Elephas maximus indicus: one gene and its partners. The protein of the gene in region 2 interacts with the protein of the main gene of each other region in a pairwise test. Links are inferred from orthologs where the notes say so. Each region holds a gene or a part of one and is shown on either strand. Other genes may lie near its edges.

Region 1 (7,190 bases), on a different chromosome or scaffold from region 2:
ACCCCTATGTGTGTCAGAGTAGAACTGTGCTCCACAGGGTTTTCAATGGCTGTGACCTTTCAGAGGCAGGTTGTCAGGAGTTTCTCCCAATGTACCTCTGGGTAGACTTGAACTTCCAATCTTTCAGTTAGCAGCTAAGCATGTTAACCATGTGTACCACCCAGTGATGCCTGGTACATAGTAGATGCTGTTTGTTTGTTCAAGTTCCAAAGTATCAATAGGCAAAAGTGAGCAACTAGCCCTTACTCTCATCCTAATGGCACAAAACGCAGGGCTTGTCCAGCAGAAGACCAGTCATCCCAATGGGGTCAAGCCTTCTGTGCCCTGAGACTACAACCCAGAACATGTAAGATAATACCATCACATGGGGATTTCAGAAGAGTCCAAATCAAGGAAGGCCCTTTAAAAGGCTAAAACGCAAGCTTGTTTCATCCTCTTCTCAACTCTCCCTTCCAGCAAGCAAACTTGAAAAGATGCTTCCAAGTTATTCCCCTCTCTCTTTCCCTACTTCCTATCTAACTTCCCCTGGAATTAAACAGCTTTGCTCACTGAAGCCTGGAGTCAAAGCCCCTGATTCTGACACCTGGTCAGTTTCAAGGCCTGACTCGACTCTGCCCCTATTGGTCATTTAGAGGAAATGCAGCCAAGTACCCCCTTGACAGACACTTCACAGTCTGAAAGGTATCTGCAGTGTAGAGAGGAGCCTGCAAGAAACCCATTTCACATTGTTGCGCTTGGCCATCACAACTGTGTAAAATGGACAAAGCTGCTGTTATCATCTGACAAAGAGAAATCTGCGGTCCAAAGGGGCAAAGTGACTTGCTTAGGGTCCAATGGTTAATAAGCTACAGGAAAGGAAACAGAACTCATTTTCAGATACCCTGGTTCCCTTTCCACTATGGGGCCAAAAAGACGATCCTTATTCCAGGCCACGTGGGTCCTAATACGGTAAGCTTGCAAACGCATTAAGATGTCTTGGAGCGACATTTACCCAACTGATAAATCCTCCCTTGGATTAATGAGCCCCCACTTTTAATTTAGGATTTGCCAAGAGATGACAGCCTTCCCCAAGAGTTAACTTACTTGTCAGGCAGAGAAGCCCAGAAAGGTTGCCAACATCCTGCTGGCTCACAGACACGTCTTGAAATAAAGTTTCAAATGAGTTAGAGTAAACTCAGGAATGAGTTAGAGTAAACTACGTTCATCAACAGAGTAAAACTCAGCTAAACCAGCTGCCCTCCTCCCGTCTGAGGCTGAGTCATGTCATGCTTTATTTGGGTGGTTATCTTCCGCGGCTCGGGCATCAAGAAGATAACCCATCATCCTCTCGGGACCTCCACCGTGGGAATACGAGCAGGTCGCCTCACGAATGATAAGGTCTAGACATTTTCCCAAAAACGTGTTCTCATCAGACGCTGATATTTCAAGTACGTGTAACTGAGCAACGCTCAGTCTTTGCCACACAACTCTGCCCCCTCCCGACCCCTCCGCCCCCAACCCATCCCCTCCCTCAAATCCTAGCGCGAGCCGGCCCGGCCCCACCCCCACATCACACGCCGAGGCACCCGGAGGGAGACTCCCGGCCCGGCCCGAGGCTCTTTCTTATGTAAATGGCCAGGCGGAGGTGAAAGCTCGGGGTTGAGATATCCTTGAGTTAGGTGAGCAGATAGGTCCGGCCCTAGGGTAGGAAAAAGCTCGTTTTCGGAACGACAAAAATCTCAAGGAACACAGGAAAGGGGGTTTGGTCCTCTCCGAGTAACTTTCGGGAGCGAATGAGAAAGGAACATCCAAAGACCGCCCCCCACTTGGAGGCGGGTTCCCGGGACGCGAGGCGGGGCGGTCCTGAGGGAGAAGCGTGGGGGGGCGGGGGATGGACACCCCTAGCCGGGCCTCAGTTCCGGGGAAGAGGCGCGGCGCGGGGAGCCCTTCTACCCCCTTCCCGTCTCGTCCCCGGGCCGCCTTCTCCCCAATCCCACCTCCGCAGGGCCGCGAGGAACAACCGGCAGAGCCGCAGGTCCCCTAAACGCGTTACTTCTGCGCCGGTGGCCCCAGGCAGCCCCCACGCGGCAGCGGCGCCTCCTCCCCCAGCCACGACTCTCCCCACGTGCTCTGGCCGGAACTCGGCTGCAGAAGGGGGGATCATCCCACGTGTGCCCAGCAGTCACTGACTACGTGCTGGGTGACCCGCCCTCCTGAAACAAAAAAAGAGAGAGAGGGAGAGAGGGAAGGAGCGCGCAGGGTGGTAGGAAGAGAGGGAGCCGGGCGGCGCAGCGCGGACGTGGCTTCTCGAGCAGAGGAGTTGTCCGGTCGCCCAGGCTGTTTGTGCGGCCCCGGCCCCGAAGTGAGTAGGGAACGAGTAGCTGCTGGGTCTGGGAGGGGTGTCCAGCTGGCCGGGGCCCCGAGATACGACCGGGGACCCGGCGACTCTGTCCGAGGCGAGCCCGCCGCCCCCGCCCCCGCCCGCGCTCTCTTACTTTCTGCACTTGGTCATGGTTGAGTTCCGTGAAGAAGTAGGCGAGCAGATGCGAGGCGATCATCCTACCGCGGCCTGACGGCACCGAGTTGGGAAACGAGCTGGAGCGAGTGCGGGGGAGGCGGGCAGTGGTGGGACCGCTTTGTACCCGGGCTCGGGCGGCCTGTCTGGGAGGTGGGGGTCTGGGCGGCGCACAAAGAAGGCCAACGGCGATGGCGCTCCGGGTGAGAGCTCTCTTAGGTCTCTGAAGACGGGTTTTTAGTCCCAGCTGCTAGCAGGCAGGCGCCCCAGTATCACTCCAGGCGACGTGTCCGGCTGCCCCACGGTCAAGGAGCCAACCTCAGCCACAGGATCACTAAGAATCACAGCCCAGCTCCGCTAGGACAATCAGCCTGGTGGGGCGCTCGGTCCCACGCGCGATGCTCTCGCCCGCGGATCCTCTCCGCTCCACGGCACAGCGGGGCTCGCGGCGGCACGGTGAGTCTTGCGCTGGAGTTTCGTGCAACAATGTGGCTTATTGAGGGGCCGCCCGCTCGCGGGCCGCCCGGTCAGTGACGCGCGCACGCCCATTGGCTAAGCGGGGAGGGTGTGTGCGCCCGCGGGCCACCCGCCGGCACGGCGCAGCCAGTCAGCGCGCACGACCCGCGGGCGCGGCCGCCCAGACACCCGAGCCGGCCGGCTGGAGGGGCGGAGCCCGGCGGCCGGGATGGGACGTGTGGTCCGTGGCAAGAGGCTGGAGCGGAAAGGCGCGTGAGCTGCCGCTGCTTCGGGCTCCGCCAGGGATAGGGGACATGTGAGCGCGGACCCCGGGTGTGGGACGACTGGAAAGACGGGTCACTGGACCAGCACACGCCCTGTGTGGGGGGAGAGATGCAGTCTGGCATCCTGGGGCCATGGAATCGACTGTCCAGTTGGTCTGAAGCATCCTAGTTCTCACCTATTGTGGCTCCGTGAGTCCGCGGCTGCGCCAAGGCAAAGTGAGCCGCCCTATTTGCTTCTTTTTCTTTGCCAGGCATTACAAAAAACTGCTCTTCTAACCTTCACAGCCCAAATCTTACGATATAACATTAATGTCTTAGAATATTAATATCATATTAACCCCGTTTTCCAGATGAGGAAAGAGGCATAGAGCCGTTGAGAGACTTGACCAAGGTCACTCAGATGGTGGGGAAAAGGACTCACGCCCCTCTGATTGTGAGCCCCAGTAGAACTAGCCCATAGGGTTCCCAAGGACCGGCTGGTGGATTCAAACTGCCGACCTTTGGATTAGCAGCCTGAGCTCTTAACCACTTCACCACCAGGGCACCTCCCTCTAAATTCCCCCCCCCCCCCCCGCCCAATTAACCTATCCTGCCTTTCTAAGCACCGGGAAGAGAGAAGAAACTGGGTGACCAAGTGTGTAACTCTGAGTGATCCTGGACATGTGTGGGTTGGGGCAAGGTGTATGGATTGGAGAGGAGAGCCCCAGCCACAGCCAGTGCCTGGCATCAGACTCCAAGTTTATATACCGGGTGGAAGCTAGCAAAAATGAAGTATTGACTTCAGCAGGCGTGGGACTGTTCCCTCAGAGAGAAGGGCAAGCCTGGGGCTGGAGAGGCTGCAGTGAAGGGAAGATGAGGGTCTTCTGTTTTCTACTGAGGAGTTCCTCTTTATCTCATAAACAATGGGTACTGTATGCAACGTATATGGATTTTATTATTATTACACAAGTAATGGATGGTCCTTGTTGGAAAATAAGAATATAGAGATAAACAATAAAACATGAAAACATCCACGATCCAGCCTCTCAGCAAAATTTCTTGAAAACTATGCACCGTTGCCAACTAAACATCCTCACCCCTCTTTCCATGTACTCTAATCAGGCTTGGGCCCCAAACTGCTTTCGTCCCATAATGGCCTACATGTTGCTAAAGCCTATGTTCTCTTCTCCACTTTTGTCTTACTCCACCTCTCAGGGGTGTTGGGCACAGTTGACCATCTCCTCCATCTAAACACACCTGCCTCAGTTGGAGTCCAGGAAGCTCCACTCTCCTGGCTTCCCAGTAACCTCTCTCCCCAAGCTCCTCAGCCCCTGTTTTCTCCACTGGTAAGTACTGGAGTATCCCACACCTATCCTCCACCCTTTTTGATCTAGTTATGATCTCTCCTTAGGTGATCCTCCCAGCCCCATGACTGTTAGGTCATCTACAAGCTGGTGACTCACAAAGGTAAAATCTACAGCGAAAACCTCTCCTGGAACTCCACATATAAATCACTAGCTGCCATTTGTCATCTCCACTCAAGTGACTAGCATCTCACACTTAACATGTCTAAAACTGAGCTCAACTTTTCTTCCCAAAACTACTCCCAGTTCTCAGCAAATGGCATCACTATAAACCCTAATTCATTCTTAATCCCTCCCTGCCCCTCACCCACACATTCAGCCAATCTGCCATCAAGCAGTCAACTCTATGCGTAGAGTACCCATTGCCATCAAGTCGATTCCAACTCATAGCGACCCTATAGGACAGAGTAGAACTGCCCCATAGGGTTACCAAGGAGCAGCTGGTGAATTCAAACTGCCTACCTTTTAGTTAGCAGCCAAAGGCTTAACCACTGTGCCACCAGGGCCCCACACCCATAGAGCAGACCCTGTATAGGACCACTTTTCCCCATGTTTAAGTACACCACCTCAGCCAAGCCACCAACTCAGCCAGAGCCACTGTCACATTGTCCTACCTGGCCTCCCTGCTTCCACTCTTGCCCACCTCCACCCTCGCCCCTGTCATCTCTTCTTCACTCAGAAGCCAAAGTGACCTTTTCAAAAATAGAAATCGAACATGTCTCTCCCTGGCTCAAATCCACCCAGTGGCTTTCAATTGTAACATAAAATTCAGTCTTCTGACAATGACTGCTAAGGCTTTTCACCATATGGCCTCTGCCTCCCTCTCCACCCCATTCCATACTTTCCCCAAGACACTACTCGCGCTCACACTGACGCATTTTCCTCAAATATGCCAAACTCTTTCTCACCCAAGGGCCTTTGCTCTTCCTGGTTCTTCGGTCTGGAATATGTTTTTCCAGATCTGTGTGTCGCTGACTCTTTCTCCTCACTGAGATTCAGCTCAGATGTCACCTCCTCGAAGGGCCTTCCCTGACCAGTTTATCTCAGATAGCTCCCCAAGTCACTATCCTGTGACCCTGATTGATTTCCTTCGTAGCCCTTATCACTATCTGATACTGTTTATGATCTGGCAACTTGTATGTGTCCTTTATCTGCTCACTGGACTCCGAGCTACAAGAGCGGAGTTGGTATTTGTGTTGTTTCTCAGCATCCACTGTGCCTAGAATGGTGCCTGTCACATGGGAGGTACTCAGTAAATATTGCATAAATTAAGAAATATTAGAGATAGCCATTGTTCGTATTTTATATAATTGTGTATCTGTGTGGAGAAAGTTTATAGTTTTATGTATTTTATATATGTTTTATATATATTTATTTTATATATATTATTCTTCAGATATTTTCCCACCTCTCCCTCTACCTAGTTCACACACCCAATATCTCTCACCTGATGATAGCAGCCTCATAATTTGGTCTTCCCTCTTTAGATATAGATACATAGTAGATACATAGAGTTAGATATCCAGCAGAGGTTCTTAAACAGAGAAATGATGTGATCAGATCTGGGTTTTTTAGGGCAATTTCTAACCTCCATGTGGGTGAAGGAGGGGCAGGAGGGTCAGAGACCAGAGGCCGAAAGAAGTAGGGACGGTAGGATAAGACCAGAGCCTGAAACAGGTGAGAACGGGGCAGGGAGTAGGGGCACGGGTTTAAAGATGTTGTGAAGTCTGAGGTAGAATTGATGGCTTTAGCTAGTGGTAGGGGATGAAGAGGAAGATGCTTTCTGTCTACAGATATTTGGAAACCCACTAGGCAGTGCTACAGAACTCCACTGGGCCCAGGTAGAAGGGACCAGAGTCTGTGGGGTGGTGTCAGCTGTGAGCCCTTCTCCACACATGAATTTTAGTGCCTTCTTCTCCCCTCAAAGTCTACCCTTAAATTCCAGGTGCTGTAAGTGCCTCTTTCTCTTATTCTGCTCACAATAATCCCAGGAGGTGCCTGGAATTGCTATAAGCCCCAGTTAAGACATGATAAACCAAGGGTAGTTTACGCACGTAAGGCTGAGGCGAGTATCTTCAACTTTTCTGGCTCCAAACTCCATGCGGCGGAGTTGATTAATCATGAGTCTCAGACCTCTCTCTCTCTCTCTCTCTCTTTGTCTCTCTCACACACACACAAACATTGAAGAGGGATGAGACATACATGTGGTTTACACTCCCCAGCCCCAAGGGAGGAATCAACCAGCGAATATTTATTAAACACTTTACAATGCTCAGGGAACTCTGCTCAGTGCTATGAGAAATACAGAAGAAACATAAGATGTGGCCCTTGCCCGTGGAGAATTAACTGACTAGTCAGAGATATAAAACTAATACATAAAACAAGTATTAAACCCACTGCCATCAAGCTGATTCCAGTGCATAAACCCCATTGCCATCAAGTCGATTCCGACTCATAGTGACCCTATAGGACAGAGTAGAACTGCTGCGTAGAGTTTCCAAGGAGTGCCTGGTGGATTTGAACTACCAACCTTCTGGTTAACGGCCATAGCGCTTCACCAATATGCCACTGGGGTTTCTAAGGTATAATGACCCTGTAAGACAGAGTAGAACT
Region 2 (7,644 bases):
GAAAAGTGACTTAAGATAGTCTTTTATCTTTATTAAAATTTTGCTTTGGTTACAGGAAAGCCAAAAAAAAAAAATCCGTATAATTTAGAATTCTAATTTCACTATTACAAAAAGTTAAACATCTTCATAAATATAAATTGACCTATATGAATTCCCCTATTTATGAAATATTTGCTCTTACTTTCCAATTTTGTGCAGTGAAATGCTGAAAACAGCCAGGCTAGTGGAGACATGAAATAAGAATCCTAGAAGGAAGACCTACGGGCTTCAAAACTTAATACGGACACCCACCCACTAGAATAGATAAAGGACTGACAATGTTACATGTCAGCTGGGATACAGAGGAACAGAATGGTGGGACTGTACAACCGTACACTTTTCAAAAAGGCAATTTCTTATAAAACTAAACATATGCCTGCCCTGTAGTCCAGCCATTCCACTTCTAAGTATTTAAACCACAAGAAATGGAAGCATATGTCCACAAACAGAAAAAGATTTTACTAACCAGGAACAGCCATGGTAACACTCAGCACGGGATAAATTATGGTAAGATCACACAATAGAAAACTATGTATCACATACAAAGTCATACAATAGGAAAGCAACAAAAAAGAAGGAATTTCTAACACACAAGGATAATCTCAAAAACATCATGCTGCGTGAAAACAACCTTACCCAAAGACTACCTATTACACAATCTCATTTTTATAAAATTCTAGAACAGGCAAAACTAACTTATGGTGAAAAAAACAAAAACAGTGGTAGATGGGAGAGTGACTGAACTAACAGAGAAAGAAGGAACTTTCTGTTCAGTAAGAATGCTCTACATATCTTGATAGGGGTTTGGGTTACACAGGTGTATGCATGTGTCAAAACTCATGGAATGGAACTCTTACATATTTCACTGCATGGAAAATTTACCTGAAAAAATAAAATTAAAAAACGTTGAACTCAAGCTAATGATATTGGCACTGAAGTGCTTTTTAAGGGTAACATGTTCAGATATTTGCAAATTACTTTGAAATCCACCCAAAAAATAAAAAGGACTGATGAATGATTAGAAATGTGATAGAGCTAACACAGTAAAATGCAAATGGTAGGTGACAGACATATGGGTGTTCACTGTATAATTCTTTCAACTCTCCCATATGCTGGAAAACAAAATGTTCAGGAGCACTGGGAGACAAAAAACAAAACAACAATATGGTGATTCAATTGGTGGTGAATATCTCTTGGTTGATGCTACAATCTACTGCTTCGCAAAACACATCTTTTGAAACTAGATAAACCAATACCCGATTCATTTACTGTTTCTGGGGCAATTTACCATGGGTACACTTCAGGAGTTCACTGTTTCCTTTCATAAACTATTCACATTGTTTGAGATTGCTAGGGATGAAGAATTACGGTTCAACAATAAACTAAAACAACTTGTCGAATTTCACCAAGATTCTTATTAATTGCAAAATTTCTCTGCCAGGCTTTAAGCAATTACTGGGTAATACTCCCCATTAACTCCCGTTTTGTTTTCTTTTATTCAACGCAATTGCCAGTACCTGAGTAGGTCGCTATCGTTCCCCTATAACCAAACAAAAACTTACCCCAGATGAGCATCGAAGGGATAAATATACTAACAAGAAAACAGCATGTCATCAAAGAATGAAGAGTCACTCACTTTTCTCCTTGAGCCTAGTACCATAATTTAAGATGTGCCTGCAAGCAATTTCTACGGCATATCTTTGTTTTTCGTTTTTTTAAAAGTAGGCAAGATTTCAGCATTCAAAAAGCAGAACTAAACAAACACGTGCTTCTCACCCCAAAAACCGACCATAACACGGCAGGCAGGCGAAAACAACGAGCAACCCTCTTTTTTTGTTTGTTTTTGTGTTCTTCAAACAAAACCGCGGCCTAGGCTAAAGCGAACCTTCGCACCCGCCCAGCCTCCACCCCGCCCGGAGTCAGGCGGTGGGTCCCTCTCCTTTGTGAGGAGCTGGAGGCGGCTGGGGGCGGGGAGCTGGCGGAGGCGGCAGAGGGTCGGTGGACGCCGGAGGAGGAGGGTGCGGAGGCAAGCGGCGTTGGTGTGTGCCACACACAGGCCGCAGCCCTGCCACAAACCTCTGCGGTGTCCCAAGAAGCAAACCCACGAGCTTGGGTGTGATCGGATTTGGGATGAGGCCCAGGAAAATGGCCGAGGACACTTCCGCGGTCAACCCTCTCCCAAGGCCCTCCAAAACCGTCCCTGGACGCGGGCGGAGGTCCTGCCGCCACCTCCACCCCTGCCCGAGCCCCAGGCGGCCCTCACCTGCTGGACGGAGCTGTTCTCGGGCACAGCGAACTCCTCCTTCTCCTTTGGGGTCTTCACGGTGACTTTCATGATCTTGGGCTCCGCGGAGGCAGCTGCCGCGGGGGCGCCGGCACCGTCGGGCGCGGCGGCGCTGTCCTGGGAGTCTGGAGGGCCGCCGCTTTCACCACTCTCGGCCATGGCGGCGGTGACTCAGGAGAGCAGGGAGGGAGCGGGCAGGGAGGGAGCGGGCGAGCGAACGGGAGCCAGAAAACGCCACAGTCGGCCGGCCCGGGCAGCGGGGAATGCGGGGCACGCCACCTCAGTGGCAACCGGCGTAGGACCGCCCTAGCGGGCGAGAGGCCGCGGAGCTCTGTTTGGGCTCTAGCGCAGGGCCAGGTCGGGCGCTCGGCAGCCGTCGTTTGTTCAGACGCCGCTGGTTAACAGCGACATCCGCAGCAGCCGCCGCTTCGTCCTCGCCGCCCCTCCCCCACGTCCCTCTGCCAGCGCCGCGCGAGGCACGCCGGGTAGCGCGGCTGAAGGCAGCGCCGAGTCATTCCTGGCGGTCGCCTCTTCAAGCTCCAGCGGCTTTCCTTTTCCGCTCGCGTTCTGTTACCCAAAATGTAAACATGTCCAGAGTGGAAGAATAAAATCAAAGACGGACGGGATGGGTCAGTTCATTTTTTTTGTCATTTCCACCAAATAAATAATAATCCCGGTTCTGAGAGGCGTCTTATCGGCGCACAAAGATGATGTCACGGATAGCGAAATTACTAGAAAGGGGGCTCCACCACTGGGCGCTGCGGCCGCGAGTACGCCTGCGCGCTGGCTGTCCAGGTAGTTTGCCCACCCCCTTACCTCACGGGCTGCCCAGGCAGTCTTCACCGCTTCCGGTAATTTTTCGCCTTGGTCTACCTCGCTGGGAAGAGGGTCTCGTGATAAAATACTGGCGAAGTATTTTGTTGTTGCTGATTTGCTTAGTTTTTGCCTACTTGTAAGATTTGAAATGAAGATAACTTAATGAAACAAAGGTCGTCATAAACGAAAGGAAAATGGAATAAACGCCAGTAATCACCCTGCACAATTCGCGGAGTCATTGCACATGGCCAGGGCTTTCTACTCTCGGATGAGCCAGATTTGGTCAGGCGATCGTCAGGCCACCGGTACTGACAGAGTGGCCTGTGCTCCCGCTTTTGACAGAATGACTCATTCAGTTGGTCAATGAGAATTTATTGAGTACTTTCTGGCAAACTTTAATACGCTAATCTTGTGTCCAAAAACTTACATAGTAACTTCAATACGAGGCAGAACATGTGTCAAATAACTAATATAAATTATATCTCACTCTCCTACTGAAAATCCATCGCAAGCTCCCCACTGGCTGCAAAATAAACCCCAATTTCTTAACTAGAAATTAGAGACCTGCAATCCAGTGTCTTTCAAATTTCACTCCCATTGCTCTGTAGATGTACTTCATTCCAGTCAAACTTGTGTATTACCATTTCTGGAAACATTTGCACATTATGCTTCTCTCACCTCTGATCATTACACCCCCACCTTGTCCTCATCTTTTAGAGCTACCTTCTCTCTAAAACTTTTCCTTGAACACCCAAGCCTAGAGGATCATTTCCCTTCTCTGACATTCTATCATAATTATGTACAGTAAAACCTGCAAAAGCTAGAACTCTGTGTGAGGCAGAAACCTGTCAGAGAAGGAAAAATATTTTCCGCTAGCGATAGAAAAGTGGTGACTGCACCCTGTCAAAGGCGGAAAACTTGTGAGACCTAGAAAAACAAGACAGTCCTGAGTTCCCACTGTCATAGGTTTCACTGTATGTATAATTCTCCTGGCAATTCATTACTTGTAACATTGCTTCTATTATCTTCAACTTCCTCCTGCTACCAGTCTAGTTCAGGCCTTCATTACCTCTGGCCTAGGTTGAACAACCTCCTACAGATTCCTCTCCCCCATTTTGAAGTCCCCATCCTCAAGTCTGTTTTCTTCTGATGCCATATGTTATTCTAAAACAAAGCTTTGATGACACTCACCTACTTGAAAATTTTCAAAAGCTCTCACCAAAGTTTAGAATAAAATTAAATCTTCATGGCATGGTGTACAAGGCCCTCTGTGACCAGAGGACCTTGCTCCTTACTCCTCTCTTCAGGCAAACCAGTCAACTAAGCTCTCCAAGCATGTCTTGGGCTTTCCTGGTTCAAAGCCTCAATGCACAAAGGAGAATGAAGAAAACCAAAGACACAAGGGAAATATTAGTCCAAAGGACTAATGGACCACAAGTACCACAGCATTCACCACTCTGAGCCCAGAAGAACTAGATGGTGCCCGGCTACCACCACCAACTGCTCTGACAGGGATCACAATAGAGGGTCCCAGACAGAGCAGGAGAAAAATGCAGAACAAAATTCAAATTCACAAAAGAAAAAAAAAAGACCAGACTTACTGGTCTGACAGAGACTGGAAGAACCCCCGAGTCTATGGTCCCCAGACGCCCTTTTAACTCAGAACTGAAGCTACTCCCAAAGTTCACCCTTCAGCCAAAGATTAGACAGGTCTATAAAACAAACAATTACACATGTGAGGAATGTGCTTCTTAGTTCAATTCTGTACATGAGACCAAGGGGCAACACCTGCACAAACACAATGACAAGAAGGCAGGAAGGGACAGGAATATTGGACAAATGGAAATGGGGGACTGGGGTGTGGAAGGGGAGAGTGTTGACACATCGCGGGGATTGCAACCAGTGTAACAAAACTGTGTGTAAATTGTTGAATAAGATACTAATTTACTCTGTAAAGTTTCACCTAGAGCACAATTAAAAAAAAAAAAAAAAGCCTCAACACACCAATTTCACTGCAGGAAAAAATTATTTTCCCTTCTTTTGTTCCCATTGTTTTACCCCTCCTTCAGTTCTCAACTGAAATATGACCTTCCCTAACAATTTGTCCGTGGTACAGAAATATTCTCTAAACTCTCTATATAGCTTTATGACCTTTTTAATGTCACTTAACACATTATCTCTTGTATTATACTTACTTTTGTGCCTCTTTCTCCTTCATTAGACAAAAAAATCTCATTGCCATCAAGTCGATTCTGACTCACAGTGACCCTATAGGACAAAGTAGAATTGCTCCACAGGGTTTCCAAGCAGCAGCTGGTGGATTTGAACTGCTGACCTTTTGATTAGCACCCAAACACTTAACCACTGTGTCACCAGGGCTTCTTAACTAGACAAGGTCCTTGAAAATTGGAATTCTGTCTTAACCATCATATATACCCCACAGTGCCCAGCATAATTTCTTGGCATGAGAGCATTCCCAGTTGAACTGTATTGTTGAAATCATGTTTTTCATTAAAGAGGCTTAGAACAGTGGATCATATTTTGTATGTCTTGTCTCTCCCAAGGTTTATAGTGTAGCGGTAGATAGATAGATACAGCTGTATATATACACACCTTGGAACTTACTTGCTTTACAGTAGAATTTATAAGGAAACATCCCTATACTATCTGCTTGACGGGGAGGGAAATGGCACAGGGGTGGTGGTCAGAGAAAGTTTTTGAAGGAAATTACTTGAGCCAGGCCTTAAGGAATGCATAAGATGTTGTTAGGTGTGTTGAGAGGGGCAACATCATGAGAAGCACACAGTGATGGGAAATAGAAACTCTCCCAGGGTACTGGTCTCAAAGTGTGATCCACAGTCTAGGAGCAGTGCACAAATATCTCTAGGGCTACTTCAAAATCAAATGTAGAAGGGTAGAACATTCAAAAACTTTCTGGCCAAGTAATTAGAGGACAGGCTGGGGGCGGGGAGAGGATGTTTATTAATTTGTCAACTAAGACTTTACATCTAAAGCCACCACGAGCTTTGAACAGAAGCTGCTAAGTAGGTTCCCACAGTCCTCTGGTGCTGTGCCAGGTACAGCATAATAAACAGAAGCAAAGAGAGGGCCAGCAGCAGTGGAAAGAAAGGGGATGTGGCAAACCTCTCTGTGTGAAGAACACATCTCTGGTTCTCACATTGGTCCAATCTCACTATTTATTTTTTTTACTTCTTATTTTGAAATAAATCTAGACTTACCAGAAGTTGCAAAAATAGCACAAAGTCTGTGTACCCTTCACCCAGCTTCCCCCAATGGTGACATCTTAAATAGCTGTTGCACAATATCAAAACCAGGAAATTTGACATGTTAATAGACTACAGACCTTATTCAGTTTTCACCACATTTTTTAAAATTTTTATTGTGCTTTAAGTGAAAGTTTACAAATCAAGTCAGTCTCTCATACAAAAATATATATACACCTTGCTATATACTCATGGTTGCTCTCCCCCTAATAAAACAGCACACACCTTCGCTCCAGCCTCTATTTCCGTGTCCTTGGTTCTGTTCCCCTCTGCCTTCTCATCTCCCCTCCAGACAGGAGCTGCCCACATAGTCTCATGTGTTTACTTCATCCAAGAAGCTCACTCCTCACCAGTATCATTTTCTATCCTACACTCCAGTACAATTCCTGTATGAGGAGTTGGCTTTGAGAATGGTTCCTGTCTTGGGCTAACAGAAGGTCTGGGGACCATGACCTCTGGGATCCTTCCAGTCTCAGTCAGACCATTAAGTCTGGTCTTTTTATGAGGATTTTGAAGTCTGCATCCCACTGCTCTCCTGCTCCTTCAGGGGTTCTCTGTTGTGTTCCCTGTCACGGCAGTCATCGGTTGTAGCCAGGCATCATCTAGTTCTTCTGGTCTCAGGATGATGTAGTCTCTGGTTTACATGGCCCTTTCTGTCTCTTGGGCTCGTAATTACCTTGTATCCTTGATGTTCTTCATTCTCCTTTGGTCTAGGCAGGTTGAGACCAATTGATGCATCTTAGTTAGCCACTTGCTAGCGTTTAAGACCCCAGATGCCACTCTCCAAAGTGGGATACAGAATGTTTTCTTAATAGATTTTATTATTCCAACTGACCCAGATGTCCCCTGAAACCACGGTCTCCAAACCCCCACCGCTCCTACCCTGGCTTTCGAAGTGTTGGCCTTATTCGGAAGACTTCTTTGCTTTTGGTTTAGTCCAGTTGTGCTGACCTCGCCTGTATTGTGTGTTGTCTTTCCCTTCACCTAAAATAATTCTTGCCTTCTATCTAATTAGTGGGAAGCCCTGGTGGCATAGTGGTTAAGTGCTATGGCTACAAACCAAAGAGTCAGCAGTTTGAATCCAAGGCGCTCCTTGGAAACTCTGTGGGGCAGTTGTACTCTGTCCTATAGGGTCGCTATGAGTCGGAATCGACTCCATGGCACTGGGTTTGGTTTTTTGTTTTTGTTTTTAATCTAATTAGTGAATACCCCTCCCCCTCC
Region 3 (7,574 bases), on a different chromosome or scaffold from region 2:
ACAGAACAAAACACTGCCCTGTCCTGCGCTATCCTTACAATCGTTATGCTTGAGCTCATTGTTGCAGCCACTGTGTCAATCCACCTCGTTGAGGGTCTTCCTCTTTTCCACTGACCCTGTACACTCTGCCAAGCATGATGTCCTTCTCCAGAGACTGATCCCTCCTGACAGCACATCCAAAGTATGTAAGACGCAGTCTCACCATCCTTGCCTCTAAGGAGCATTCTGGCCACACTTCTTCCAACACAGATTTGTTCGTTATTTTGGCAGTTCATGGTATATTCAATATTCTTCGCCAACACCAGAATTCAAAGGCGTCAACTCTTCTTCAGTCTTCCTTATTCATTGTCCAGCTTCTGCTGCAAAGGACCTCATCAAAGTGTTGAAGAGCAAAGATGTCACCCTGAAGACTAAGGTGCACCTGACCCAAGCCATGGTATTTTCAATCACATCATATGCATGTGAAAGCTGGACAATGAATAAGTTCAATTAGGACATGTTCATTTTCTCTGTTATGCCAGTGTTCTAGTTCAAATTTCCTTTCTAAATCTTATACAATTGCCTTAATTTATCAAATATCCTTTCTCTGGGGCCAAATCTTTCCAACACAAATCTTATTTATGAAAAGACAACATCATTATCACTTGGCTTTTATGATGAATTCATATACTGATGACTAGGACTTGCTGTGACGCAGTGGTTAAAAACTCGGCTGCTAACCAAAGGTCGGCAGTTCAAATCCACCAGCCACTCATTGGAAATCCTATGGGGCAGTTCTACTCTGTCCTATAGGGTCACTATGAATCTGAATCCACTCAATGGGAATGGGTTTGATTTGGGGGATGGTCAACTTTAGGTATTAAAAAGTTATTAACATTAGCATCTTTGTTTGCAAATCTGCGAAATTCCCTGGCTGTGTAGAGCTATGGCTGCCAACCAAAAGGTCCAACCAAAAGGTTGGCAGTTGGAATCCACCAGTCGCTCCTTGGAAACTCTATGGGGCAGTTCTACTCTGTCCTATAGGGTCGCTATGAATCGGAATCCACTCCGTGGCAAGGGGTTTTATAGGGTTGCTATAAGTCGCAATCTAGTCAATGGCACTGGGTTTGATTTTCCAGTTATACGATTTCCTAATACCATCTTGTGTAACTATTGCAAAAGTCCACAAACAAGTTTCTCAAAGCTAGCAACCAAAAAATTTTAGTAACTCACTTGTGAAATCAGATTATAATCAAGTTGAGCACTTTACTTTTCAAAGACTATCAAAAGATAACAAATGATCGTGGATAGTGTTACGTTGATAATTGCCTCATATCATGGGGAGAGCTCTCAGGTACAAATCCATTCCTGTTTGATATGTTTTCTCTTAATATTTATGTTGCTGTACCAAAATGTAACTTACGTTTTTCCTGAGCTGTTTAAATGTTTTTGAATGAACAAATAAAGAGTAACATTAATTATGTATTTTACTTACACCTACTCTGAACGCAATCCCCAACCACCCCAAAACTCAATAAAATGCTACGTGAAGTGACCACTTAATTATAAAACATCAAAATAAATAACCAAAGAACGACCACAGCAAATCATAAGCAATCACTTGGTTTAAAAAAAAAGAAAGAAAACAAGTTAGAAAAAAAGCCAGTGCAAAACTTCCCTGCAGTTAAGTTTTCTAAGGGCTCCAATGTGACCCTTGTCTCCCATTTTTTAAACTCTCCGACTGGACACAACAAGATCCATTTGCTTGAGTTACTCTTTATGGGAACACTTTTTTCTACAAACGTACCTTCTGCAAAAACTATTTCCGATTTTAACATACAGAGTTACCTTTTTTTTTTTTTTCTGAAGAAGCAACAGTTCTTGCTACTATCATGACTCCAGAACAGTTTTTCGAGGATTTTTTAAAAGAAACTTTGTAAATTACATGAAGCAGGCCGAATCAAGTGACTGGAGAAGTAAGTTTCCCAAGAGCAAAAACTTTCTGAAATTTCGTGTCCCTACACCTCTTCCCCTGTCCTCATCCCCCCAAAAGAAATGTTTTTTCAGCCTTAGCACCGGGCCAGTACTCAAGACAAGAGAACACTTTATTTTAAAAACGCTCAGAAGGAGTGAACCAAGTTGAGTATATTGTGACTGAAGCGAAAGCAAAAGAACTGTGACTCCCGGCCATGAACCCGCATGGCTTAAAGCGCTCAAGTCCCAGGGAGTTAAGACCCGATTTCCGCCGCACGCACAAAGTGGCAATTCAGATTCCCGGAGTTGAGCCAGCAATATTTTGCCCCACTTTAGTTTTTTCTTAGTATTTAAAAACACAATCTCTACAAATCTAAGCGAGCCAGACGATGGCTAAGGGAGACAGAGGGAGGTCGCAGGAGCTTCAGGAACGAGAAAGGAGCCGAGGAGAGCAGGCCACGCGTAGGTCCCCGAACTCGCCAGCATGGACCAGGCCTGGCCGGGAGCCCGGCGAGCGGCTGCAGGAGGGAGGAGGCGGCGGCGCTGGACCCGACTCACCTGCCCATTCACCGAGCCCCGGTCCGACTGCGGTCTCATTACCTAACCCCCAGACCCGAAAGGCCATGAAGAGAAAGTACGAGATGCGCAGGGCCAGGTAGGCCACGGTGCCCGCGCCCACCCAGTAGAAGAAGCCGGCGGCCGGGACAACGCTCTCCATGGCTTTCGACTAGGCCTCACTACCTGCGTGAATGAAAAAAAAGGAATGAATGAATCCAGGCGTGGCGCCGGCGGTGGCGGCGAAGACGACAGTAACAGGCGCTGCTCCTACTGGGCTTTTGCCCCAAGCCCCGCCCACAGCGCCGTATACGTGCCGCCATTGGTGATCCAGCCTTCCTTCTGCGGTAACGTATCAGCCGTTGGCTGACTCCTAAACAGACCAGAGCCCACCCCCTAGAGTTTCCCTGCCCCAACCACGACCCCTCTCCCCGCGCGCACAATGTGCGGTGCTACCGTTCTCCGGCAGCAGATCGCTTGCCTGCCAATCAAGCTTCAGCCCGCCCAACCGCGTCTCTACGTCCCCCAGTATTCGGCCAGTGAGCGGTGCGTCTCACCACCAAATCGCCCAGGTCTTTCATTGGCTGCGGCGATCCTCGCGACTCTAGAAGCCTGCGCTCCGATTGGCCGGTCAGACCCAGCCTGGTTTGAGCCGGGATTGTGAAGGAAAGGAATCGGAGAAGCCACAGAGAATGGGAAGATTGTAGTGAGGAGTAGATGTGGAGCCTTTCGGGCAGGGTTTTATTTTCACCTCCTGATTAAACACTTCTTTGTCAATGCGCTGCTGTTGTTCCCATCAACTTTTCTGGACAGAGGGCTGCAGTCTCCTGTTTCTAAGCCTGCCCCACAGCACGCAATCGTTTCAGTACACTCACTTATTGAGTGCCTTCCAACTGCAAGGCCTCCGTCCAGCGCTGAGCATTAAACAGCACATAATTCCCAACGTTTTCGAGTTTACGTCAAATAATGATGGAGTTGAATAACTATGGAATAAGAATTGCAAGATGAATGAAAATATACTACAGAAAAACAGCTTGCTGAGAAGGGAGTCAAGTCGGTGTTTTAACTGGGCAGGAAAGGACGATAGAGATTTTTATTTTACTTTATTATTATTAACTTGCTTTTTTTATGGGGAGAGGGGAGTGGAGTTTCCGGGACGCTCCACAGTGTGTATGGGAACTACCTAAGAGAAGTTCCAAAGGAGTAAGACCACAAAGCAAAGTTAAGAAATTGTGTAGTGCAATAAAATGGTTCACACTTATTCGCTCATCCTTCTTCAACAGTTTTTATTGTTCCTTTGCTGGCATGGTTTGGAGCTCGCATAAGATATCTAGAGCTTATCCTTAGCCAGTGAGGCCTGCTGACTTAACACTTGAGAGGTTTTTTTAAGGAAGGGATTTAAGGGTAATAAAAGGGCTAACAGTTCAACGAGCTTGAAGCTGAAGTCATAGTTATGTAATATTTAGTGTAACAGACTTATCTCTCAGTGCAGCAGTGCAGAGAGGGCTGAGTGTGGACGTATTTTATTGGCAACCACTGGCCTAGCCCACAAGGGCTAGGGGTGAGAAAGAGACAGAGAAAGGGCTGCCTTGTCAGAAGTAAAGGGAGTTCACTCCTGTTGAGATAGCCCAAGGGGATTACGGATGAGAGCGTGAAGGGGCTGTCTGAAGTGCTGGGAGGTGTGTGTGAACTCTTGAGCCTAAGACTGCTACCCATTATGACCTAGCTTGGATAACTAGGAATGAGCTGACCAGAATTCGACAAAGTGAAGAGATGTTTGACACCATGAGCTGGTGTTTTTACAATCATAATTAACCATGTTAACCATCAACACTCACAAATGAATCATATAATTCTATCAGCATCTTCCCCCACCCTCTCTTTCCCAGATCCATCAGGAAAGGAGGAATCTATTCATTGGGGATCCTCCCTTGTCCCCCTCATATTGAGTGTAAGCACACCCACGAAAGTCAGTAAGCCAGCCACTTCATGCCTTTAAAAAAAAAAAATATAGCCAACTTTTAAATTGCCTGTCCCCATCAAACCAGTACTCTGATGAGACAAACGTGTTCTTTGGTCTTGAAGAATGTTTTCTGTTCCAGCTGGAACTTTCCAACATCTGCATCCATAAGCAAAGGCCAATCCCCAGCAAGCGATCAAATTGCAGGAAGAAAATTCTTCAAGACAAAGGCCCAGTGTCAGTTAATTGGGGAAAAGATAGTCTTTTTAACAAATGGTGCTGGCATAATTGGATATCCATTTGCAAAAAAATGAAACAGGACCCATACCTCACACCAAGCACAAAAACTAACTCCAAGTGGATCAAAGACCTAAACATAAAGACTAAAATGATAAAGATCATGGAAGAAAAAATAGGGACAACCCTAGGAGCCCTAATACAAGGCATAAACAGAATACAAAACATTACCAAAAATGACGAAGAGAAACCAGATAACTGGGAGCTCCTAAAAATCAAACACCTATGCTCATCTAAAGACTTCACCGAAAGAGTAAAAAGACCACCTACAGACTGGGAAAGAATTTTTAGCTATGACATCTCAGACCAGCGCCTGATCTCTAAAATCTACATGATTCTGTCAAAACTCAACCACAAAAAGACAAACAACCCAATCAAGAAGTGGGCAAAGGAAATGAACACACACTTCACTAAAGAAGATATTCAGGCAGCTAACAGACACATGAGAAAATGTTCTCGATCATTAGCCATTAGAGAAATGCAAATTAAAACTACGATGAGATTCCATCTGATTCCAACAAGGCTGTCATTAATCCAAAAAACACAAAATAATAAATGTTGGAGAGGCTGCGGAGAGATTGGAACTCTTATACACTGCTGGTGGGAATGTCAAATGGTACAACCACTTTGGAAATCTATCTGGCGTTTTCTTAAACAGTTAGAAATAGAACTACCATACAACCCAGAAATCCCACACCTCGGAATATACCCTAGAGAAACAAGAGCCTTCACACAAACAGATATATGCACACCCATGTTTATTGCAGCACTGTTTACAATAGCAAAAAGCTGGAAGCAACCAAGGTGTCCATCAACGGATGAATGGTTAAATAAATTGTGGTATATTCACACAATGGAATACTACGCATCGATAGAGAACAGTGATGAATCTGTGAAACATTTCATAACATGGAGGAACCTGGAAGTCATTATGCTGAGCGAAATTAGTCAGAGGCAAAAGGACAAATATTGTATAAGACCACTATTATAAGATCTTGAGAAATAGTATAAACTGAGAAGAACACATACTTTTGTGGTTATGAGGGGGGGAGGAAGGGAGGGAGGAAGAGGATTTTTTACTGATTAATTAGTAGATAAGAACTGCTTTAGGTGAAGGGAAGGACAACACTCAATACATGGAAGGTCAGCCCAATTGGACTGGACCAAAAGCAAAGAAGTTTCAGGGATAAAATGAATGCTTCAAAGGTCAGCGGAGCAAGCACGGGGGTTTGGGAACCATGCTTTAAGGGGACTTCTAAGTCAATTGGCAAAATAATTCTGTTATGAAAACATTCTGCATCCCACTTTGAAATGCGGCGTCTGGGGTCTTAAATGCTAACAAGCGGCCGTCTAAGATGCACCAATTGGTCTCAACCCACCTGGAGCAAAGGAGAATGAAGAACACCAAGGTCACACGACAACTAAGAGCCCAAGAGACAGAAAGGGCCACATGAACCAGAGACCTACATTATCCTGAGACCAGAAGAACTAGTTGGTGCCCGGCCACAATCGATGACTGCCCTGACAGGAAGCACAATAGAGAACCCCAGAGGGAGCAGGAGATCGGTGGGATGCAGACCCCAAATTCTCACAAAAAGACCAGACTTAATGGTCTGACTGTGACTAGAGGAATCCGGGCGGTCATGGTCCCCAAACCTTCTGTTGGCACAGGACAGGAACCATTCCAGAAGACAACTCATTAGAACTGAAAGGGACTGGACAGTGGGTATGAAAGAGATGCTGAAGAAGAGTGAGCTAATTATATCAGGTGGACACTTGAGACTGTGTTGGCATCTCCTGTCTGGAGGGGGGATGGGAGGATAGAGAGAGTTGGAAGCTGGCAAAATTGTCACGAAAGGAGAGACTGGAAGGGCTGACTCATTGGGGGAGAGTAAGTGGGAGTAAGGAGTAAGATGTATATAAACTTATATGTGACAGACTGACTTGATTTGTAAACGTTCACTTGAAGCTCAATAAAAGTTAATAAAAAAAAAGTTAGAAATAGAACTACAATACAACCCAGAAATCCCACACCTCAGAATATACCCTAGAGAAATATGAGCCTTCACTCGAACAAATATACGCACACCCATGTTTATTGCAGCACTGTTTACAATAGCAAAAAGATGGAAGCAACCAAGGTGTCCATCAAAGGATGAATGGTTAAATAAATTGTGGTATATTCACACAATGGAATACTACACATCGATAAAGAACAGTGACGAATCTGTGAAACATTTCATAACATGGAGGAACCTGGAAGGCATTATGCTGAGTGAAATCAGTCAGAGGCAAAAGGACAAATATTGTATAAGACCACTATTAGAAGATCTTGAGAAATAGTATAAACCGAGAAGAACACACACTTTTGTGGTTATGAGGGGGGCAGGGAGGGAGGGTGGGAGAGGGTTATTTACTGATTAGTTAGTAGATAAGAACTACTTTAGGTGAAGGGAAGGACAATACTCAATACAGGGAAGGTCAGCTCAAATGGACTGGACCAAAAGCAAAGAAGTTCCCGGGATAAACTGAACGCTTCGAAGGTCAGCGGAGCAAGGGTGGGGGTTTGGGGACTATGACTTCAGGGGACATCTAAGTCAATTGGCAAAATAAATTCTATTATGAAAACATTCTGCATCCCACTTTGAAGTGTGGAGTCTGGGGTCTTAAATGCTAACAAGCGGCCATCTAAGATGCATCAATTAGTCTCAACCCACCTGGAGCAAAGGAGAATGAAGAACACCAAGGTCACACGACAACTATGAGCCCAAGAGACAGAAAGGGCCACATGAACCAGAGACTTACATCA
Region 4 (6,945 bases), on a different chromosome or scaffold from region 2:
TTTTTAAGCTCTTGATATAAAATGGCTGCTGTATAATTCCAAGAGTCATTTTACATAGGTATATAATGAGTCATAGTTACTTCTTCAATGAAACAAAAATGTTTAGCTGAAGAGATTTAAAAAGGGATAAAAAGGATTGCCAGATAACCTCCCTAAGGCTCATTTCAGAATTTCCTAATATTTTGTAAGTTACTATTTTACTTAACATGTCTATTTTACCTTCTAATATTTGCCTTGAAGAAAACACGTAAAAACTGAATGCATTAAATTACAATTTAAACCCATAATATGATACAAAGTTTAAAAAGATAGATAGAAATGAGGTTTGATTTTTTTAATGACATGTGGAATGTCCTAAGAAAACAGGATACAGAGCTTACACGGGAAATTTTTATACAAGAAAACTAGAAGACAATAGAATTTTTAAAATATTTTTATTAGTATACATCTATTTGATAGCTTCAAATTTAGAACACTTAGGATTAGCATGACCAAGGAGACCTACTATTGGATAAGGATCTGAAATGGATAACTGTAACAGGTTCGTATCAACCTCCGCATGCGATTTCTGTATCTTGTACAGTGAAAAACTGATTTACACAGCACTATCGAATTACAGTATTTTTCTAATACTCCATGTTGCAGTCTCAGAATACTTTTCAGTTAAACTGATTCAGATGAGAAACAGGAAAATTTGTATTTTGAAGTTGAATAAATATCTAGCAAATTCCTTTCTTTCCATTAAATCAGGAACGATTTACAGTAAACAAAAACTATCCACGGTATCAGTTAACACTAACGGTTTTCACACTTTTACTGAGCATGTTCCTATGAACCAGGCCCTGCACTAAACTTCTGAACATGCAATTTCTCATGTAATTACCTCAATGGCAAGTGTCACAGGTTCACTTGTTTTTCACAACTGACGATGGTGGCACGATGACAGCTTACACTGAGCTCATGTGTCCAAGCCTTTACATGGCATCTCAGCCAGCAGGACGCTATGGTACTGTTGCAGCTCCCGGTGTTCGCTTGCACGATTTTACGAATATTACACAAAGAAGTAGGCCTGACTTCCCCCCCAAGAAACAGAACATGGCTAAGTCTTACTAATCTGAGACACACCTGTACGACACAGACAACGGAACAGCTGTGATCTAGGTCTGCCCTAAAGCCCCTCCGCTTCCCGAGGCTCAGAAGTGCCCTTCCAGGCCTAACTGCAGGAGGGCGGCCTCGGCCTCCTCCTCCTCCTCCTTGGCCTCCTCCTCGCGGATCTGCACCAGCAACTGGAAGAGGTTCGGAGCCGGCCCCTCCGCAGCCCCGGTCAGCCACAGCTGCCTCCGGATGGCCCCGCTGTGGTTGGCCCCCGCAATGACCTGCTCCAGGCGGGCCTGGTTCACGTTATCTTTATCTATGGCCCCCTTCTCCACCACCTTCTGCAGCAGAGGCTCCAGACGGATGACATAAGCAGATAACTTTTCTCCCGGGTTCTGGTAAGTGTTCAGAAACCTGACCTGGGCATCCCGGGAGCTCTCGACGCTCCCAAACACCTGCTCCAGCGCCTTCAGACACTCGGCGGAGGTTATCGCAGGGTTGTTGGTCTTGAGGATGCGAATGACATCGGCGGCGGGGCCTCTGAGGCTCTCCACCAACCGCCGCCTCTTTTCTAGATCGGACACCTGCCACTCCTCCATGACCTCATTAGTGTGCTCCAGCCAGTGATCAAAGGCCTCCTCCCCAGGGCCCGGGATGTCCCTCCCCGAGAACAGCGTCAGCTTCTTGTACCATATGGACTCGACAAGAGGCTGGATAACATTATCCAAAATATAGTTAAGCATCTCTGCCGGCATTTCTGGGCCTGGAGCAGGAGCGGGGTTCTGAAACCCAAGGACTCGGGCGACATCTTGCACTGTCCACCCCTCTCTTGCCAGGAAGAGGTGCAACCTTTCTAAAAATTCAGCATCGGATGTCGGGGGCTTAAAGACCACTTTCCAGACCCCTCCCTTGCCCGGCATCTCCCTGGGTATGTTGGCGTAATCGACAGCGCCAGTGAGCTCTAACAAGGCTGCTTTCGCATTCTCTTCCCTCCAGAACATTCTCCCAAGCACTCGATAGGGCACCTGGGGCATCGCAGCCCGGAGGGTATCTTCGATTTCAGCCTCGTCACAGTTCACTGGGATCCCCCAGACCAGCAGGGCTCTCTGGGAGTTCACATCCATCCCCCTGCACCAGTCTTCCAACAGGGTCATCGCCATCTTCCCACCTATCAAATGGGGCCGGCTCCACAAGTACCGGTTCGATGGTGGCTCACTCTGCAATAGGGCTACGAATGATACCAGAGCCTCCCCCCCCCAAAAGCCCGAGGGAGGCAAGCTTCACGCAGTCACAATTAAGAAACGACACCAGAGTCCTGCTTTCGCCCTTCCTCCCTGCCCCCCAAAGTACTCCCCCTAAGTCGGTCTGCGCGTCCTTGGAGCGAGGCCTCGGGATGCTCAGTCACGCGGCCGCCGCCATCTTGCGTCTCCGGTCGGGGTCCGCGGCCGAGGTCCGTCGCCTACAGACAGGGGGCGAGTCGCAGCACAGACGAGGAGCCGCCGGGCGGGAGACGATGCCGGGGTGCAGTCTTGGGGCGCGGTCGCCTCGGTCCGCACCCGGGAGCTAGCTGCTGCTCCGGGAGTCGACTGGGCGTCCGCGGTCGGAGCGCGGCCTTCAGACCGGGGAGGAGCGGCTGTTTGGCAGACGAGGACTCTGACGCCCCCGGAGGAAGAGGCTGTCCCAAAGTTGTGGAGGCGGCAGCGGCCGATCAGCCCGCGAGGTCAGCCCGCGAGCGGCTACTTCGCGGGCCCGACGACCCCCTCTCGGCGGCAAGGACAACCGAGGGCCGAGGATCGAGGCCCGAAGGCGGAGGCTATACGGACAGGGCAAGCTGGAGAGGAAGAGCGGCCGGAGGGCAGCGCGCGTGCTGTAGCTGTCTCTGGCGGAGCGCAGCAGCCGGCGCGTCCTCCCCGCCGCGAGCCGAGCGTTACTGCCGCAGAGGGCGGGGCCAAGCCTGACAGGCGGCTTCCAGCCCGCCCCGCCCCGCCCCTGCCCTCCGTAGCCATGGCAACGGTGTCCCAGGCGACGCGAAATTCGCGCGCTTTGGCGGCGGGCGGCGTTGAGCAGTTGCCATGGGGCCGGCGAGGGGCTCCTGGCACTGATCTCTCGGATGGTGTATTTCTTTTTTCATATATATATTTTTTTATAATGAAAGAATACTGCTAAAAGAATCTAATTCTGGAGTGGATCTAAGATACTGGTGGAAATGCATCCGTCGTGGCCGACTTGTCTACTCAGGTAGCTCATTCCACCGGTCTATGCTGCGTAGAGAACGCTCACCTCAGCACCCGGCCTCGCTGAGCCACCTGAGCACACTCTCTCTGCACCTCCGTGGTTCAGCCCATTGAAATTGTAATGTGGGAAGTGTGCCATTTATGGTTTTTGAGACGTTGAGTTTAGACTTTGTCCTGTCTAAAATATCGTAAAAGACATTATTTCTACTCAGTCATCTTTGTAGGAAGGCAAACACTAGTATGATATTTCCCCTCTCCTGGCTCCTGGACAATGGGCTGATAAAAATTGAATCCTTACGGTTCAAAAATGTCCAGTGTAATCCCTTGTAAACAAAACAAGGCCTACTGACGTCAATCCCAGATGGTGAAAATCCCCCCAAAAGAACACAACATTCAACTCTGAATTTTTAAAACCTTATTTAATAAAAGGTTTAAAGATACAGAGGGAACATTCAAAAGTAAATAAGTTACATAGGTACATTACAATCACATCAGCAAGATTTTCTTTAGTGTATTAATTTTTTTATAAAAAGCACACAAAAAATAAAATCTTCAGTCTCGTCTATCACAACTGTACAGCAAAAGAGGTAATATTTCTATATATATGTACACTATTTTAATATGTAACAGTCTTTTTAAAAAAGGGTGCCACAGGCAGCAAACACACAAAAGGCAGTGTCTGATCATTTCTCTCAAAATAAAAGGAATATACTTATTTATATGCTATTAAAATATTTGTACAATAATTACAGACTGTCAAGGCTGTTCCTGTGCTCTGTCCCCTCCAACAAGGCCTTCAACTTTAGAGACAAATGAGGAAAAGGTGAAACAGCTGCAAATTGTTAGAGGCAAATATTAACACAGAAAAATGTGGGGAGGACATAGAATTGTTTTATAAAAATATGTATTACTTCCTGTAAACCTAAGGAGTTAGGTTTGCCAGTCTGGTAATAAATACCGACCCAGAAAAGTAAGTCCCAGTGAAAATATATTTAAACAGCTGAGGCTTAAGGATGTGTTGTATTCCTCCTTCATCTTAACATCTGGCACATGAGAAGAAAGAGTTTAGGTCACTGAGGCAGTTAAATATAGACGATCCCTTTAGACATAAGCAGCGCACAACCTCTGTGCCAGGGGAGGCCCTCACTTAGCACAGCAGGAGGTGGGGCAGCAGAAGGGGCAGGTATGTACCTTAGCTGTGAGGGAGGCTGCTGAAGGCATGGAGAACGGTGCGGACAGCACTGTCTCCCTGGGTGGGTAAGAGACCTCAGAAATGGTCTGGAACACAGGCACTAGGTCAGTTTCACGCCCTTAGCTGACTGCAGATGGACCCTGGGAAATGGATGTGATGAGACAGTGTGAGAAGGAGGACATAAAGCTGGAGGTGTTTGTCATTTAACTTCCTAAAGCAAAGAGCTCTGAATAAAAGAAGAAAAAGAGGAACCTAATGCATTCACAGGGAGAAAGCACCATTAAGGATATACTTATGCCAGCTTCTATGGCTGCACCTACCTTATTGGCAGGTCACTCCACAATTGCATCTGCCCTCTGAACAGTTTAATTTTTCACATTGCATTCTAGATATAAATCCATCCTGGAGCATGAACCCTCCTAAAATGCGGTGTCTGGTGGGGTAGGCTGCTGGAGGATTAATACAGACAGGTACCATCTTAATTTTTCCCACCTACATTCACCTGGTCTGGTCTCCATAAGCTTAGGAGAAAAGAATCACTTTCTTATTAAAAAAGATTTCCAAATACTAGAAGCCACCACTGAACAGAAGGGTCTCACGTGCCTGAAGGAGGTTTCTGTTACCACATGTCCATAAAGGGGCCTGAAACAAAATACAGTTTAAGTAGAAAAAACCTTGGGAAACATAAGGAGCACTTTGGGGCGAAGCTTTGAAGGCACTCATATTACACAAATGATTTAAAAGAGAGCCTAAATTTGCTACTCTCCTGCTTCTAGATGGTATACCAGATCTTTGCAATCTCCGGACACTGAGTTTGTAGAAGTCCATGGAGAAAACAAGTAGGAAGTTGGAAATCAGGGTAGTTGTCCAGGAGTCTGGGGGGAGAATAATTTTGTTACTCCTATAGTTGGGGTCCTGCGGAACAACATTAATGCATAAATGAATACTGAAAACTACCTGATAGTGCATAGTTTAAAAACAAAACTCCCTCCCCACTCCTAGTTACCAACATGACGGCTTGAAGCTCTCCTGGGAGGACCAGCAGAAAGAATACTTTTCGGCTCCTTCCTAACACGTTGATTTGTTAGAACTTCTTTTTCACAACTAAAGTTGAGTAACAAGATCAAAAAAATAACTCATCCCTCCTATGGGGCTGGCAAGGGAAGGGGCCTCCAGGGCCTTTCAGCCCTCTCACTTCAGTGACTCCTTGCCAAATTCAGCTTCTTACAGCAGAATCCAGACCTGATAAACTCAACCAGAATTCTGGCCACCTGCCAATCTCCTCAGGCAACTTCAAAGTACAGCCAGGGAAGAGGTAGCAGAGGAAAACTGCCTTTGATCTCCCCTGCTCCTGCTAGTCTCTCCTGCTTGGGTGACACCCTCCACTCTACCCTGTCTCAGTCCTGCTATCATTCCTATTGGCAAGAGCTTTCAGAGCAAAGAGGTGGGGGACCTTAGGGCCTTAGCGAGCGGGGTGCCAAGAAGGTGCCTTGTTTTGGGATAAATGCACTTGGGCCTCTGGAAAGCAGGAGGCCCCTGGTCCCTGAGAGGATGTTAAAAATTAAATATTAAGAATAAATAAATAGCTCCCAAATCACACGAGTCAAGGAATGAAGGCTCCTTTCCAATCTAGTTTGGAGACCTCCCCCTCCCAGGGAAGGATGCAGAAATCTCCAGCGTGCAGGGCTGGGGGCTGGGCTGTGGGTACCAGCACTGGAGGTGGGGGCAGGCAGCTGCTGACAGAGGCAGGCGAGGCGCTGTGCCCACCCAGGTGGAGCAGGCTGGGCTGCTGGGGATCCTCCCTCCTGGCCTCTCCAGAACTGCCTCTAAGCTAAGCCCCCTAAGCAGCTTCCAGAGCCCAAGGTATTTGGCAAAGAGGTGCAAAGCAGGAAGAGCCAGGCTTATCAGAAGCTCCCTCAGACCTAAGGCTGCACACAGCCCTGCAGCTTCCAGCCTCTGCAGTTCCCCTCCCTCCAGAAGGCTGAGAGCTCAGACAGCACTCGGGCCCCTCCCCCCAGCAGGGCTGCTAGCAAGCAGCAAAGGGATAAGTACCTGTCCTCGATCTCTCTCCCATGAGGCATCCTGGTGGCCTCCCTGCAAGGAGGAGGTGGCCTCTCTGAGGACAGGGTCCCTGGAGCAGCTAAGACCTGGATGTTGCTGTGCAGGGGGCAGTCACAGGTGCCAGGCCGAGCCCTCTCTCAGAGACCCTTTTTCCAGGGTTTGGGGCAAGGCCTGGCAGCTTTTGAGGTCCACTGGGGAGGGGAAGTAATGGCTGGATGGGGTGAGCTTGTGCTTGGCTCCCCATGGCCACTTCCTAGAGACCAAGTGGGGGACAAGGAGGCAAAGAGGAAGGAAAGAGGCAGCAGAGGTCAGAGTGTGAGAGGCAGCGGTGGCAGCAGCTAGAGCCCCTTCCAAGGGGCATCC

The links.
Region 1: the proteins of UBQLN1 (region 2) and HK2 interact in binary tests that used the Homo sapiens proteins (3 or more experiments, as listed by UniProt). The two-hybrid records come from large-scale screens. The link is inferred for Elephas maximus indicus from reciprocal best matches to the Homo sapiens genes UBQLN1 and HK2.
Region 3: the proteins of UBQLN1 (region 2) and HSD17B12 interact in binary tests that used the Homo sapiens proteins (3 or more experiments, as listed by UniProt). The link is inferred for Elephas maximus indicus from reciprocal best matches to the Homo sapiens genes UBQLN1 and HSD17B12.
Region 4: the proteins of UBQLN1 (region 2) and PNMA1 interact in binary tests that used the Homo sapiens proteins (3 or more experiments, as listed by UniProt). The two-hybrid records come from large-scale screens. The link is inferred for Elephas maximus indicus from reciprocal best matches to the Homo sapiens genes UBQLN1 and PNMA1.

What each region holds. Positions count from the first base shown.
Region 1 is NC_064835.1:61,008,847-61,016,036, forward strand, and holds the start of HK2 (hexokinase-2), read right to left. Parts: upstream 3,013-7,190; 5' UTR 2,538-3,012; coding exon 2,475-2,537; intron 1-2,474. UniProt on the Homo sapiens protein: Catalyzes the phosphorylation of hexose, such as D-glucose and D-fructose, to hexose 6-phosphate (D-glucose 6-phosphate and D-fructose 6-phosphate, respectively).
Region 2 is NC_064827.1:100,996,340-101,003,983, forward strand, and holds the start of UBQLN1 (ubiquilin-1), read right to left. Parts: upstream 3,022-7,644; 5' UTR 2,483-3,021; coding exon 2,303-2,482; intron 1-2,302. UniProt on the Homo sapiens protein: Plays an important role in the regulation of different protein degradation mechanisms and pathways including ubiquitin-proteasome system (UPS), autophagy and endoplasmic reticulum-associated protein degradation (ERAD) pathway.
Region 3 is NC_064825.1:99,001,876-99,009,449, reverse strand, and holds the start of HSD17B12 (very-long-chain 3-oxoacyl-CoA reductase), read right to left. Parts: upstream 3,006-7,574; 5' UTR 2,950-3,005; intron 2,847-2,949; exon of another isoform or gene 2,695-2,846; 5' UTR 2,672-2,694; coding exon 2,512-2,671; intron 1-2,511. UniProt on the Homo sapiens protein: Catalyzes the second of the four reactions of the long-chain fatty acids elongation cycle. This endoplasmic reticulum-bound enzymatic process, allows the addition of two carbons to the chain of long- and very long-chain fatty acids/VLCFAs per cycle.
Region 4 is NC_064828.1:86,445,066-86,452,010, forward strand, and holds PNMA1 (paraneoplastic antigen Ma1), read right to left. Parts: upstream 3,018-6,945; 5' UTR 2,256-3,017; coding exon 1,194-2,255; 3' UTR 444-1,193; downstream 1-443.